2 linked regions of the Oreochromis niloticus genome follow. The protein of the gene in region 1 interacts with the protein of each later gene in a biochemical or structural test. Links are inferred from orthologs where the notes say so. Each region holds a gene or a part of one and is shown in the gene's direction. Other genes may lie near its edges.

Evidence for each region.
Region 2: the proteins of ap1g1 (region 1) and synrg form a complex in vitro, tested with the Homo sapiens proteins (2 studies listed by BioGRID). The link is inferred for Oreochromis niloticus from reciprocal best matches to the Homo sapiens genes AP1G1 and SYNRG.

What each region holds. Positions count from the first base shown.
Region 1 is NC_031965.2:21,847,528-21,855,216, reverse strand, and holds the start of ap1g1 (AP-1 complex subunit gamma-1), read left to right. Parts: upstream 1-4,588; 5' UTR 4,589-4,695; intron 4,696-4,915; coding exon of another isoform or gene 4,916-4,931; exon of another isoform or gene 4,932-4,956; coding exon of another isoform or gene 4,957-4,960; exon of another isoform or gene 4,961-5,223; intron 5,224-7,689. Other genes in the region: znf821 (zinc finger protein 821), read right to left, coding at 2,396-2,435. UniProt on the Homo sapiens protein: Subunit of clathrin-associated adaptor protein complex 1 that plays a role in protein sorting in the late-Golgi/trans-Golgi network (TGN) and/or endosomes.
Region 2 is NC_031979.2:27,772,862-27,780,382, forward strand, and holds the start of synrg (synergin gamma), read left to right. Parts: upstream 1-4,274; 5' UTR 4,275-4,361; coding exon 4,362-4,396; intron 4,397-4,532; exon of another isoform or gene 4,533-4,656; coding exon of another isoform or gene 4,657-4,673; intron 4,674-7,521. UniProt on the Homo sapiens protein: Plays a role in endocytosis and/or membrane trafficking at the trans-Golgi network (TGN). May act by linking the adapter protein complex AP-1 to other proteins. Component of clathrin-coated vesicles.

The sequences.
Region 1 (7,689 bases):
GAAAGAGGGAAATAACAGAAACACTCTTGCATACAACGCAAGGGAAGTCTTGCTGCTTGTGTGCTCAGTAATGCTCTCCTGCAATCTTGTCCTAAATCTGAGCTGTCAGAGAAAACTGAATCAAGTGCACACATAGCTACTGTTTGTACAAGCTGAAACCTCTGTCCCTTCTGTTCATGGTTTAGTCATAGGTTTTGTTTTGTTTTTTAAAAATGCCTCATACTTTCTTTTAAATGAGCAGATAACTGACAAAAATAACATCTCAAAACTGAACCCAGAAACATGGTTAGCCACAAGCCTTGATAATTAACTGAAAGATTCTTTCACACAACATTTTTAGTGAATATAAGCTTATCGGCCTTAAAGGAGAGATATTTATAAAAAATATTTTTAAGCCTGTAATCAGCACCAACAAGTGATAGCGGCTACTTAAATTATTTTTAAAAATGTACCAGGAGTGTGCTCTTTCACATATTATGTAACAGATTCAGTTATTTATCATTACATGCTGCAATAGTGTAGCTTGCATTATTATAAGCTTGTGTGCCTGTATGTGCGTGAGTACTTTGGTAGGTGTTTGTCTGTCTGTGGGTAGCCTGTTGTTGTGATTTGGCACTGTATAAATAAAATTGAACTAAAGTGAAAGACAGTGCCAACAACAGTACTAATCACAGATACAAAACTTTACAGATGAGATCTAAATGAAGCCGAGTTTGAGATTGTGTGTGGTGCGGCTCCCCGAGTACTGAGTATTTGCGTTAAAGTGTAGTAATGCCTTCTGATCACCAGACGAGGTTTTTCCTGGCTCAAAATTGGCCTTTTGGGGATGATGCCACATACAAGGCAAGAGTATTGGGTATCTTACATATCTTAGTTATTTTTAAACAACTGATAAATGAAAAAGCGAGTCAGGTTAAAGACTAAATTTAACCCTGCATAAAAATGGACTAATAGTTTTATCGCTGTGCGGGTGGTTTTTCTGTGGTGTGGTGAACACTAAAATTATGCTGGAAAAACCTTGCAAGACGGTCACTATTGATTTTCTAGTCTGTTGAGTGCATCTGACCTGAGTTTGCTCTCACTGTATTTATGGCCCATTTTATGCCTGTTTCTTTTGTTTTCACATACCTGTAAATAATAACTGTGGTCAAATTAGACCTAAATCAGTTATTGTTAAAAACAAAAATATTAGGGCTAAGAAAAAAAAAAGAAAAAAAGTGGGACCGCACTAAGATTGGATCAAAGTGGCTGCATCACCCGTCAACACGCTGGCATTAAGTATGCATGGTAGTTATTACTGCATTATTACCAAGCATGATAGAGTAGCTATTATTGGTTTCTACTTGTGATTCTGTGTGCGTCATCATGGTAAAATGCACCATAGAGATACCTCAAACTGAATTTCAAATATGCTGACAGTTGTTTGTATATCTGTCTGTGGGCAAATTTTGCCAGTGCAGTAATGTGACAAAAGCTGTGCGAGGTGCTGACATAAAACTTTACATATGTGTATTCTTCAGCGAAATAACGGTTAAGTCAGAAGATGGGTGTGGTCCAACTCATGAGTCCTGAATACTAGTACTAATGAGTCTAAATGTCAGTATACTGGCATGTGTCACAACTGGTGTGATCCCACTGCAAGATGGTCTCTAGTTATAGGACTACTGAGTACTCATGGGCTGGATCACACAAGTCTACCAGCTTGGCGTCAACTACAAACCTGCCACATTTCATGGCTTTATCTGTTATTTTGGCAAAACCTGTTCCCAGTCATACAAATTTTGGCACGTTCCAAAAAGGTTTTGGCCTTCAATATGAAGAAAAAGTCACCAGGACTGTAATATTTAAAATAAATAAATAAACCCAAACCTCAATGCATGCACAAAAGCACCTGCCAAATTACTCAAAACTAATTCTGTGGTAGTTCCTGCAACAGTAGGTGTCCTGGGACTGCATTTTTAAACGATGATACACATGCATATCTTTGTGGACAATCTTCATAGAGTTAAAATACTCCCTAACCCCTTACCCTCACATTAAACATCACAATTAAAGTGCTAACCCAAACCTACCTCTACCTCAAAAAATAAAAAACTTTTGAACCCCAAACTGCCTTTTATGGGACCCTAAATCGTGGTTCTTTAAAAGCTGTCTGGCAACACAAATATCATTAGTTACAATGTTTATATCCTACAAATATAGATAAAACAAACAAGCAACACACACACACACACACACACGGAGATAGAGAGAGAGAGAAAACTCACAATACTAGCCTCGTAGCTGGTAGTAATTCAGCGTGATCATGTCAACCGACCCAAGTATACACGGATAGCGCAAGTGTCATCAATAAAACTCGTGAAATAGTAAGAGAGACAATACCTGAAATACCTACAGTTAACTTTGAAGGGGTTGGTCTGTTTTCGCCTGGACATATTACTGCCCAAACCGGTAAAAAAAAAACAACTGAAAAAAAAAAAGAGAATATCCTAACCCCGGACGGTCCAAGTATGTTCCGGACAGAGGGAGCAGATGATGAAGAAAATAATAATATTAAAAAATCAAATCGTTTAGATCAGAAACTGGGTCGTTTTCGGAGATTAAAAAAATAAAAAAAAAATCGGGCACATTTAAGAGTCACATTCTTGCGGTCTTTTTTTGTGTGTCTTTTTTAAAAGCCCCTTCTTCAGCCGATTATCGGGTTAAGATGATGTCCAAGCCCGGACAGAGAGACTCCGAGCAGCTCCGAGCTGCTCCGATCCCGATCCGCTGGCACCCGCGCACAACTGCAGCGCAGCACGAGCTCAGCTGATATCTAAACGTAAAAGGAATGAAGCTAACGTCGAACAGCATTGTGGGATGTGTAGGGACGCAGGGGAGTTCAAGTGAAAGATACTATGCTGCATTCAGGTCGTGTGGGAGAAAAAAAAACCCGACCATGTTCAAATATCAATTTAAAGTAAGTAAGTAAATTGCTGTTGGCGGTTTTGACGAAGCAATGATTCCTATTTAACTTTATAAGCTCTGTAAGTACGTAACTATAACCTGACAATGACACCTCAACTAATAACTAATAAATATTCATCCAAGGACCACTCAGCACACCACACCCCCAATAAACACTATCATAAGAACTCACCCGCGCGTCTGAAATCTACCGAAAATAAATAAATAAAACATAAAAACAAACCCATAATCTGTGAGGACCTTAAGGGATTACTGTGTCAAATAATATTCTTAGGTTAAATTATTGTTCTAATCATATTCTTGTATTATGAATATTTTTATTAAATAGAAATGGGAAATTAATGTTCAAGCAATTATTTTGCACTTACACATTTGATAAGTCAGTTACACTTTTGAGTTAATGTTGCCATTAGACAAAGAGTACAAACACAACATACAACAGGAAGCTGCATCCTGTCACAGTGACAAAGTAAACTTTTTTCCTGCTGTATGGCCAAATGAAGAAACTGACAACATACAATATAAGTCTTTTATTTTACACAATGAAATTATGTGAGAGCGGTTGGTCAGATGGATGAAAAAGTATTGTGGCACAGTCAGACCGTCTGGTTTAAATAAAGATTAATGACAGATCTGAGTACATTTCTCAAAAAGTACTGAGGCTAAAAAAAATTGGAAAAGCCAACCTAAATAACTAACACTCATTCATTTTATTCCACTTTCCAATTCTGAGTCGCAGGTAGCCACAGTCCAGGGAGTGTGCTAGGGACCCATAGGAGAATTTTTGCAATAAATACATTCAATTTGACATTTTTAGATAAACAGGGATATATTTTTAAGCTTACCACCGAAGTGTATAGATAACCCTATAGGATAAAAGGTACTTTTATAGGCTAAATAAAATGATCATCCAGTCCTTCACTTTCCTTGACTCCTTATCTAATTTGAGATGGGAAGGGGGGCAGTTGTAGCCTATCTCAGTCATAGAGTCAGGGTATACCATGGACAAGCTGCCAATCTATCGCAGGGCTAACCCATAGAGACAACTATTCACACTCATATTCCCGCTTGCAGCTAATTTAAGATCACCAGTGAATCTAACTCCATGCATGTCTTTGACCTGTGGGAGGAAGTGAAGAGTTTTCAGAGAGAGAACCCCCCATACAGATGTGAAAAGAACATATAAAGTACATCCAGAAAGGCCCAGACTGAATTTGAACCAAGAACCTTCTTGCTGTGAGGTGACAGTGCTAATTCAAATAAATAAATAAAAAATACATGAACATTTACTTTTTAGAATAAACAAATATATTCATAATAAAACTCCAAGGACATGCATCCACTGATTGGACACTGACAAAGCTGAGGGTATTTTTCTGTTGCAAAAGCCTTACAATTTCTGAGCCTCTCGCCCAGTTTGTGATACTTTTGTGCTCCCTCTAGCCATAATAGGAAGAAAAAGTAGTGCTACAATTGATCATGACACTTGTAATTTCATTATAAACGCTCTCTCTAACTGCATATCCTACAGTCAACACTAGATGTCGCTACAAACCGTTGGACTGTCAATGTCATAACATTGCATGTAGTCGTCATCACTGACTGCCACGAGTAAACTGACCGCAGCACCACATTGACCGGGTGAAAATGTACTCTTCCGCACGCTCAAGCGAAAATATGCCATCTCAACAAAATAATCTCGTCAGGTCATGAAATCCCCTTTGTAAGGCAAGTGGCAGATGACACACATTCACACGCAAACAGCACGTCACGTTATGCACAATTATTTAGATATCCAGTCAGTGAGTACAACAGGATAACATCAGCTAGCTGGCTAATGATAACAAGCCTAACGTTAGCCCATTATAGTTACTGTGAGAACGATGGAAGCGAACAAGCCACACAGCAATTAGTAAATGATAAGAAAGGGTTGAGTACAGTCACCTACCTACATCTCCCATCATAATGAAGACATAATTCAACTATTACCCATGTTGTCCAGTGAACATATGAGGCAGGAGTCTCGAGTAAGGGGCACAGACTGTGATTTAGTCCTCCTGTACAGCTAACGTTACTGTACGCTGATGATAAACTTGAGCTCTTCTTTCGCGAACCCCTTGCGATCTGTCAGTGTAACCCTCCGCCTGCGGTAGATGTGCTGAGGCTGGAGTAGCCACCATTTTGCATGTCTAGTGTGTTCCTCCCTCCATTGCTAATAGAGACGATTCCAGTCATTTTCTGGCATCATTACGGCTAGTAAGTACATCCTAGCAACAATATGTCGGCATAAATTTGGGGAAATGGCTTTACGTGTGAGTAGTTGTCCGCGGTTTGACTGTATTTACGTTGACAACTGTCACTGTGGCGCTGCATAGGAAGTCGCAGCCCTTAGTGCACCGGGGCTGTGCTAAGTTAGCTAGCATGTTTAGCATAGTTATAGCCTTGCTGGACTGGGGATGTGTAGCCCAGCAGTATGCTGTGTCCACTAAATCAAAGTCATCAAGGCAACGCGCAGTGACAATTTGGTATTTCCTGTCTTTCTAACTAGCGGGCACAAGTTGCATTTAATTCAGAGAGTATTCGGTTAAGGTAATGAAGAAGCAAGCTAATGGTCAGGTAGCTACGCTAGCTTGATAATCCAAATGCTTCAAGAAGGCCTAAACTGCATTATGTCCTGATCAATCGGCGATCAGAGTCAGATGTAATGGCCTGCCTCTGATTGTATACAGCCGATGATGTAAACTTTAATGTAATACAGCGCCAGCTAAGATGAAGCTACTCCTGTAGTGTCATCATGATATCTTGCCCTTTTAAGATGCTACTGAATTAGCTAGTTGTTAGCTGGCTCTTCAGAGGTGTGATTTGCGTTTTCTAAGTCATATTAAGCATGTGACGCTTGACGGCGTGGTTATTAATACAGTTAGACTTTCCTAATATTTAACAAACTGTAAGCGTTTAATCCATAAGTTAGCGTTTAATTGAAATACCAGGGAAGCTAACGATAGCTAGCTTGGTGTTTTGAGGACGTGGACTTGGGTTTTTGTCCAGTTTCGTGAGATGGTTAATTAGTGTTGACAAGCTGTTAAATGAGAAGGAAAGACTTAGACACGCGCTTTTTTATAACTGCGTTGTCAGCGTCCGAGTTTAATTCATCTTCCAGGATCAGTTTGCATGTAAGTGTTAAGGAAGTCAGGTGCAAGTAGGAAGTGAGCAAATGAGGTGACGTACAGTATGGGTGATTTCTCTACAGTTTTTGACAGGAGCTGTAAATTACGCCTCCACAAGCTTAGGTCGAAGTAAGCTCTTCAGGTCCACTGTTTGTGGCAGCGACACACAAAACCAATCTTGGTAAACTACAAGCCAGGTGTAATGCAACGCCTTTCACGTGCAGTTTACTTTATCTGTACGCTTGATGTGGGCTTTCGAGAGATTCGGGACCAACTGTACTGCTACGGTTGAAGGCCTAATGAAAATGAACCTGTTAAATGTATAATTTTACTTTCCTCACCGTCAAGTCACACGCAGTACTGTAGATTTCAGCCATATTCAATTCCTACTGGCTTCACTTTGTAAAACTAAATATGGAGTATGTTGTCCTGCATTACCTTTTCTATTTACATGTATTGTCTGTTACATGGGATAGATGGGTGAGAGTTAACGATAAAAAAAAGTCATATTTAGTTGTAGCAAAGGAATAGCCAGGATGCATTATTATAGAATGGTGCATAATATTGTGCTTGAAACATGCAGTTATGACCTTAATTAAAAACACTTAACCGTTACCTCTAATGGCAGTGATGCCATGCATAAAATGTACTTGAGTAGGTGCATTATAAGCAGGGTTAGCGTGCATTAATCACACAGCACTGAAGCAACTAAACATGATCACTGTGTCTGCATATCAGTGCCCCACACAATGTGAAATCAGATAGCTCCAGGCTTTGCCTCAGGGCTATTTAAGATCTTTTGATGTATTTCCAGTTTAGGATTCATTTTGACTCCACATTAATGTCATTTGGCCAACCTAAGTCCTGAGTGAGTTAGCACTGCCTCGGTGTCTTGTTTGGACAGAAACTGATCAGTCTTTATGGTTTTACTCTAAGTAAACAGCCACACAAACTTAGTGATAAATAAGGTACTGTAAATGCCATTTGTTATTTTTGTCTCTTTTCCTCCTCCTTTTAGCATTGGGGTCGTTGTACATTTTGCCTCTGATTAGTTTTGAACAGGAAAAGCTTACCAAAGACCCATTCTAAGCAGGGCTAGTTTCCAGCAGGCTTTGTCAATTTGCAGGCTGACAAAGCTAAATTAAGAAGTGCTTAGCTTAACTGACTCCAACTGATGGTGAAGGCACACACGGATCTTTGTATATCTCCTGTGTAACTTCAGAGTCTCTGAATTTAAAGTTGATCTCATTATTGGCTCTTTGATGGCTGTTTTGACCATCAGTCAAAGAAATAAGCAATTTCTCTATTTTCAGTGTTGTTTTCAGCAGGTTAAGAACTTCTAAGTGGTAGAAGAAAGGCGTGGTAGCTGCAAACAGTGAAATGACTATTTGCAGTTGCACATAGATGTAGAAATCACCAGGCTTTTTGATCTCTGCATGTTTGCTAAGAGAGGAAAACAAAATCTGGAAAACCATAAAGGTCTGGAGTGTGTACATGTAAAACACCTGACAGAATATTTTGACTATTACGAGCGCTTCTTCCCCTGTGCACAAGT
Region 2 (7,521 bases), on another chromosome or scaffold:
ATAATATACTCTTGGATATTGTCACTGCATACTGCTTTTAATTTGAGTTACAGTAACAGCTGTGTGATATTTTATCAGCCTCTCATATTCTGGGAATGTTAAATCTTCATCTAGTAAACAAAGCTGGTAAAAAAAACCCCCTGAGTATCTCAGAAAGTGTCCTTAAGTGCAGTGTTACATGTACTCAGTGGCACGGACTATGGCATGAAGGTGAGTAAGTGGTTTCAGTTAATAAAATGAAGCTTCTAAGCTGTTCAGGCGGAAGGATCGGATTTACATTTAATAATAATGATGATTTGTTGTCTTGAACCTCATCCAGCTACAGCCACCTGCTGCAGGAACTCAAGAGAACAAAGAAATACCATATAATGAATATATACAAGTACTGAACTAAATATCGGGGCCACGCTTGTTGTTACAGCCCAGGAGTGCAAGCCTGTTTTCTCCCAGTTTCCCTCTATTTGCATCTGAAAATCTGTGAGAATCCCTGGTTCAGAGGAATCCTGACAGATTGATGTTGTCATGCTGATGCTGTCACTGTCTTGATGCTGGACGGGTTAATGATTTATGGGGAATTGCGGGATGCCCCGAATGAGTCCCGGGTTAATGTTCACCTTTCTCGCCAGATCTCTGGGTGTGGGGGACTGCTCACATCCAGTCCCGATCCAACTGTCGAGGGGACTGACTGAGTGGCCGGCCTCCAGCTAAACCCGGCACACACAGCAGGGAGGAAGACCACGCTCGGGGACTGAGAAGAAGAAGAGGAGGAGAGAGGAGGCTAATGAGGCCTGATCGATCTCAGTAATGGGTCACACAGAAGCAATGAGAGCAGAACAAAAAAAATCCAAGCAGTTATAAAAAGCTCAAAGAAAAAACAACAACAACATGCTTTTCTTATTGTGTAAGCTTCACGCATGACAAAGAACATCGTGGCCCATGCAACATGCAGTGACATGCACAAGTAGGAGGTATCTTATGTCTACAATATAGAAGTTCATGTTTTATTCACCAAGTTATTCATTTCTATTTTCTCTAACTGTAATCAAACAATGAACATGTTAAACAATCAGGAGTAAAATGATGATTTGAGTCCATTACAGGACCGGCTAAAAGCATCACCAATAGATGTTTAATATTCCTTTAAATTTGACTTTCTGCACGTGTGACAGGATTTCATTAAAGTCATTTTGAATTTGAAGTCAGTTTTAGACTCATTTTTCTCACAAAGGCTTTGCATCTTTTAATAATAATGTATGTGACCTATAATTATAATTACAGGCAGCATCAGTGGTTCCACTCATGGTCTGGGGTTGGTCATAGTTTCCATGCATGTTTTCTGCTAAAAATGCTAAGAACCATTTACAAATATTGTTTCATTTCCTTTTTTGCTGTTTCCTTCAAATAATTAACGTGTCTTTTATTGTATTTTGTACAGTAAAAATATTTCCCAAAGTAGGGCAGTGGCTGGAGTTTTACATGCACTGAGGCTGAATATCTTGAATGAAATAAGTGCTTGTTTTAATGTATCTATTTGATAAACTTAGTACTTTTTTGATTTTTACATTTCAGTCAGACAAAAAAGAAAAAAAGGGTTCTTTTTACTTTCTTTTTAAAGCTCCTAATGTCTATAAATGAATTCTTTTACAATCATGTCAATTTTGTTTGCACAACACAACTTAAACTCTTCCTATTATCTATAAAAGGACCTCACCGGGACATGACCTTGATGTCTTCAGCAGTAGTTGGTCCTGTGTAAAGACACAGCGTCTCTGTATCCCATCCTGCTTCCCTTCTTTACTTTTGTTGGCTTGAAAGTACAAAAAACTAAACAAAAACCAAAAGAAAACAAATAGATCCTGAACATAGTGGAATCAGCCTCTTTGATATCGTCCAGGTACGTGTATGACCTCAGTTTCCTCAGTGAAGGAAGTATCCCGAAGACTTTAACAAGACTTTAACTAATCAACTCAATAAAATACACTGAAAGCTTTTCTTTTTTTCTTGTTAGTCAATCTGAATCCAAAAATGTGGTCATGTCCTCCTCTGTCATGTACATGCCCTGTGAACGGAGCTAAGGTATAAGGCTGGGAGCAGACCAGGTGATGGATAGCAGCAGGGCTTGTTGTCCTCTGCTTTACATGACTCTCATTAAGCTGTAAATCTTTCACAACAACACCCACTGAGACAATGCCACACAGGCTTCTCCTTGCTGCTCCACCTTGCCCTCGGCGTAACAATGAAACTGAATCACTTTGTCAGGACACACAATTGCCTCAGTGTTTCAGACAGCCAGTAAAAATGTTGGACAACACATCAGTGTGTGAAAGCGGGTCTTTGGGTGAATCATAACAGGCAGTCATAATTATTCAACATCTCAATGGTATCTCAGATAATCACCTGATGACACATATGAAAATACACTGTAGCAAGCTGATGTAGAAAAAATTGGGAATTGTGTACAGTTATGTACCATTATTTGTGAAAACAGATGCATACTATAAATGCCTTAACAGCAAGCTGTACATGTTTACAGTGTAATTTGAGACATAGTCGAGAAATATACTAAATTTAATTCAGAGTACATGCAGTTAGATTTTAATGTCAAAAAACAAAACTAAAGAAAAAAGGTAAAACAACGGGAACAAAGTAGGAACACTAAAGTGGGTATGATGCTATGATACTGTAAAGCTAATACGTAACACTGTTAAATTTTATTTTTGTAGATTAGATTTGCTGCAAAATGACAAGTTACAGTACTTTTCTGTCATTTAACAAATGACTTACAGTAACTTTGTTAGTCCTTTATTTATTCAGGTAAAAATCTCATTGAGATTTAAAATCTCATTTCCAAGAGAGACCTGGCATCACTGGCAACTGAGGGCTATGTGAGGTATAGACCGTAAGATAATCCTAAAGAAAATAATTTAAGCTCACATTTATATTTAAAACATTATACAATGCTTGCTGATAAGCTCAAAAACATTTGGGGGCCTCCATAAAAACAGACTGCTGTCACCTCCCCTCACCTATGGGCAGCTTTGCTACAACAAACATTTTGGTAGCTCGTGTTGGCCTGAGCTCGCTCTTACTCAGAAAATCAGACACAGCCTTCGTGGGTGATAAGAATAGGTAAGGTAGACCTGTCCTACTAAACTGTACCACAGATAAAGAATCACGTGCAGCTAACTGGCACAGGATCATATTTGCACACGTGACTACTTTCTCGTTAAAATCTGAGATCTGGAATATGAACTTTATTTTTGTAATTTTCGAGCTTTAGAGATTGCAGGTATTAAAGTTGAAGTGTTTTCCTCCAACATTCAGTTTAATGATCACAACTTTCCACCAGCTCACAGGTTTGTTTCTGTATGACATGTTTTGTTTTTGTGCCTTTGCATGTTCAGGTTCTCGCCTTAACAAAACCTCGACAAAGCTACACACTGACACCTGCTGGCAGAAAGTTTGAATTGCAGCGACCAATACTAAACGTGGGAAGTTGTTGCCCTGCATCAATCCTCGCAGGTCGGCCTTCCGCTCCGCTCGTTTTCACCATCACAAAGTCGTCTTCTTTTTTAGCATACACAAATAAAGTCAGCCAATATAACTTTCTTCCATCAAAGTAACCCAGTGGGGGCAATTAAAGCAAGAAAAAACAGTAAGTAAGAGGTTTTAAAAATATGTTTTTTCAAGCTTCCAGCAATTCAATAAACAGTACTTCAGCTCATAATAAGTCAGAGATGGAAATGTACTATCCAAAACAATATAATTTCGCCATATTAGACAATACGAATCACCGCAATAGCACACCTGTCGGGAATGAACATTACAGTGGTTAAAAAAACATCATGTTGTTTAAAAAAAAATATCAATTTTCCTTGAGATTGCTAACAAAGTTAATCAGAAACTAGTAGCTTAACTGTTAGCTTCAGTCGTTTGGAGAAAGAGAGCATCCATGTTACTGAAGATATTGAAAAAAAAGGTGAATTATTATTGATTATGTATTATCTCAAGATTTTGTCTTTCTTAGAAGTAGCTCCAAGATATTACTACCGAAATAATAAGTTGAAATTTCACTGGTGGAAACAAATTGTGAAATATAAAGACTTATTAAGGTTAAAGGTAAAATATATATGTGGAACTGAGGTAAAGGGGGGGGGGGTGTAATTCAGGAAAAAATAAACAAATAAGCCAACAAAACAAAAACAACCAACTCAATTAATGTTTATTTATTTTCTATCATGTATTAGCCCTGCTATGACCCGGACGGTGTGTCTGACAGACTAAACTCAGGGCACCGTACGTCCCACACCACCGTCCTAAGTGGTGACGTCATCTTCCTCTTAGTGACTGCTGTTATCAAGATGGCGCTGCGGCCGGGATCTGGGGGAGGTGGCAGGTATTTTAGCCATTTTAAACTGACTCATTTTAGGGGAAGTAATTTGTGCGTGAAACATTCACCCCCGACAGTCGCGGGGCTTCACATTTAGCCACGAGGACGCCCTCAAATATCGCGATAAAGGCTGGCTTAGTTTGTCGGGGCAGGGAGATGAGATGAGATGGCTGGTGGTCAGGTGCCACAGCTAACGTTAGCTGGCCCCTTCTGGCTTTACCTGTCCATGTCCAGAGTGGTTCCGACTAACTTCACGGTGTGGTCATATGAACAGATTTCACCCTTAAGTTATTCTGTGGCAGTCATAGTGCCCAGTGCTCTCGGTGTCTGGTGATATAACGCGATACTTGCTAGATGAATCTCTTGTAGCATTGCTAGGCAGGCCTGTGGGTGGCTGGTAGGGACAGATATTTACACTTTCTCAGTATTATGTTTTCTGTTATTGGGGATTTAGTATGGTGTTGGCTATTTAGGAAGATAAAACATTAGGACGTGAAGATTTGTGGGGAAGGGGTTGATTTAGTTTTTGTCCCTGTAACAAACAAAGCAGCAGAGACTCTAAGCCCTTCTTCAGGAGTCAGATTGCTCTAATAACTCTCTGCTGAATTACATAATCAGCCCTGTCACACATGCATATTCCAGTAAGTAGCTGTAAATGGTGAGGAGATGTTCAGGTGTCTTATTAAAGCAGTGTGATGATGGTCTGCAGAGGAGATGAAAAGGCCAGCCTCATGATTTTTTCATAATACGAGCTCCAGCACCCTGAATAATAAATATACTCTGGCTACAAGGCTAGCCAGGTGATACTGATCTGACAGGTGAAACCAAAGCCCTCAAGACTGTCTGTGCCAGTCTTTCACTGCGGCTGGTAAAGCCTCTACTGTATACTCTGGTAGATTTGGGCTATATTTGCATTTTAGTATATTTTCTCTCAAAAAATGTGTCATTTATGAGATGGGCCATGCTTAACTTTGACTTTGGAACTCTGTTTTTAAAGTATCTACTTCCATGGTGCAGTGTGACTTTTTTACAATCAGTGGTACCATTTGGTAAAAAACAATCTTGGAAACTTTGAGTAGCTGCAAGAAATGACAATGTGGGTATGATAAAAGTAAAATGTACCTGTATGCTAAAGTGCAAAGCCAGGAGGTGAAGCCTGTTTGAGAATTCCAGCAACCTTTTGTAGTTTGTAGGCTCCATGCAGATCCTCTGTTTTCAACAGGACATGTGAATAGATACTTCATGAATGTCAGATGATATCCTGTGCAGAAACCATACCTTTTACGCCAGCTATTCTCTCAGCTGCTCCCTTTAGGGGTTGCCACAGCAGATCACCTACTTCGATCTCACTCTCACTCTACTCTTTTCTTCTGTCACACCAACCCTCTGCATGTCCTTCTTCACTACATTCATGAACATCCTCTGAGGTATTTTTCATTTCCACCTGCCTGGCAGCTCCATATTCAACATCCTTTGTCTATTTTATCCACTATCCGTCCTCTGCACATGTTCAAGCCTCTCTAAATTTGTTTCCAAACTGGACAACTCAAGATGTTCCTGTATATGAGAGAGAAAATGATTAGCGCTTGCTTTTCAGAGTGCTTTGGGTTACTTTTAGCGATGCATAGTTGTAAAATTCTGGGCCGAATGACATTTTTCCTGCTCTGTTTATTCCCTCTGTTATGTCAAGAAAACAAAGAAATCTTCATTATACTTGGAAATCTAAAAAAAATTTTTAAAAGGGCTTTCAACTCTGAAATAAAAATAATGATATTAAAATCAATACAACTGATAAATCAGTAAATAAGATAACATTTTCTGAGTTCAGTGGCTGATCTGTTGGCTAATATATCAGCCAAATGTCAATCAGTTGGCTGATATATTAGTCCTACTTACATACTTTTACCTCAGTTTTTCACTAAAAGAACTTTTTTTCTTTTTTTGATTAATAAACAGACCAAAAAGCAAATGCATTTCATTTAATGACTGAGAAAACGATCAAATCCTTTCATCTGAGAACCAGCAAATGTCTTGCATTTTGTTTGAAAAATCTGTTTCCATTGATTTTATAATCAATTAGGGGACTTATGAAGTGTCACAATTTAGTGGTGACTTGATACCAAGACTGATACCAGTACAGATATTTGATGATTAAAAATTCCAACGCTTTTTTTGGTTAGAGAAACATTGGTTATGTGTATTTTATTTTATTTTTTTTACCTATTTATCCAATGCTCTGCCATATTCTTCTCAGATCAGCTGGTTGTGTTCAACATCATCACTCATAACACTGGTTAAAGAGTGTTTTTTCCCATCTCTTTATTTATTTTCTTCCATTTTTACCTATCGGTAAATACTGGAAGATCTTCAGACAGCTAATAACGGCCTTTTCCTACATTAATAGCATCTATGGAAGCAACAGCATTAGGAGCGAATGAGAAAAAAGTGCATTTGGAAGGCAGAAAATTGAGAATTTCTAACATGGTTTTCTTGGTAAATAACAAAGCCCTAAATAATCAGTGGTTTGTAAGTAAATGCTTTAGATCTTTATGTAGCAGAAGTGGCAGGTCCATTAAAAGTAAGCCTTTCCTTTTTAAAGGAGTGATTTTAAGTCTGCTCTCTATTCCTCTATGAGAGCAAATAGTTTTAACAATAACGACTCTGGCTGAAACTGTGAAACTGTGCCTTCTGTCCCCAAGCATTCAAAGCAGTTTGATGGTAGCTATTAGACGAATCCAGACCTTTTACAAGGCTCAGGCCTGCCTGGTGTCCACAGCTGCTGTCGCCGCTTATCTCCCTCTATGTTAATCCACTCGGCCATGACCTCTGATTTGCTGAAGGATGGCAGACAGTAGTGCCGTGGTGCTCAAAAAGCTTTTTAAGCTGCAAATCTTCCAGTGAGCAGATGCGAGAATCTGAAACCCTCCGGTACTTGTCATATTGCAACAGTATCCTGTGAGGGGAAAAAACAGCTTCTTGCTTTTAGTTTAAATGTTTTTAGATGAGCAGAAAAAAGAGGACCACTCATCAGCACCAAGAGTGCCCATAAATTCACATTAGTGTGAATTAAATGTGACAGACTCAGGAGGACTTGAAGAAAGAGCTGTTGTGACTATGTCCCAAAACATAAA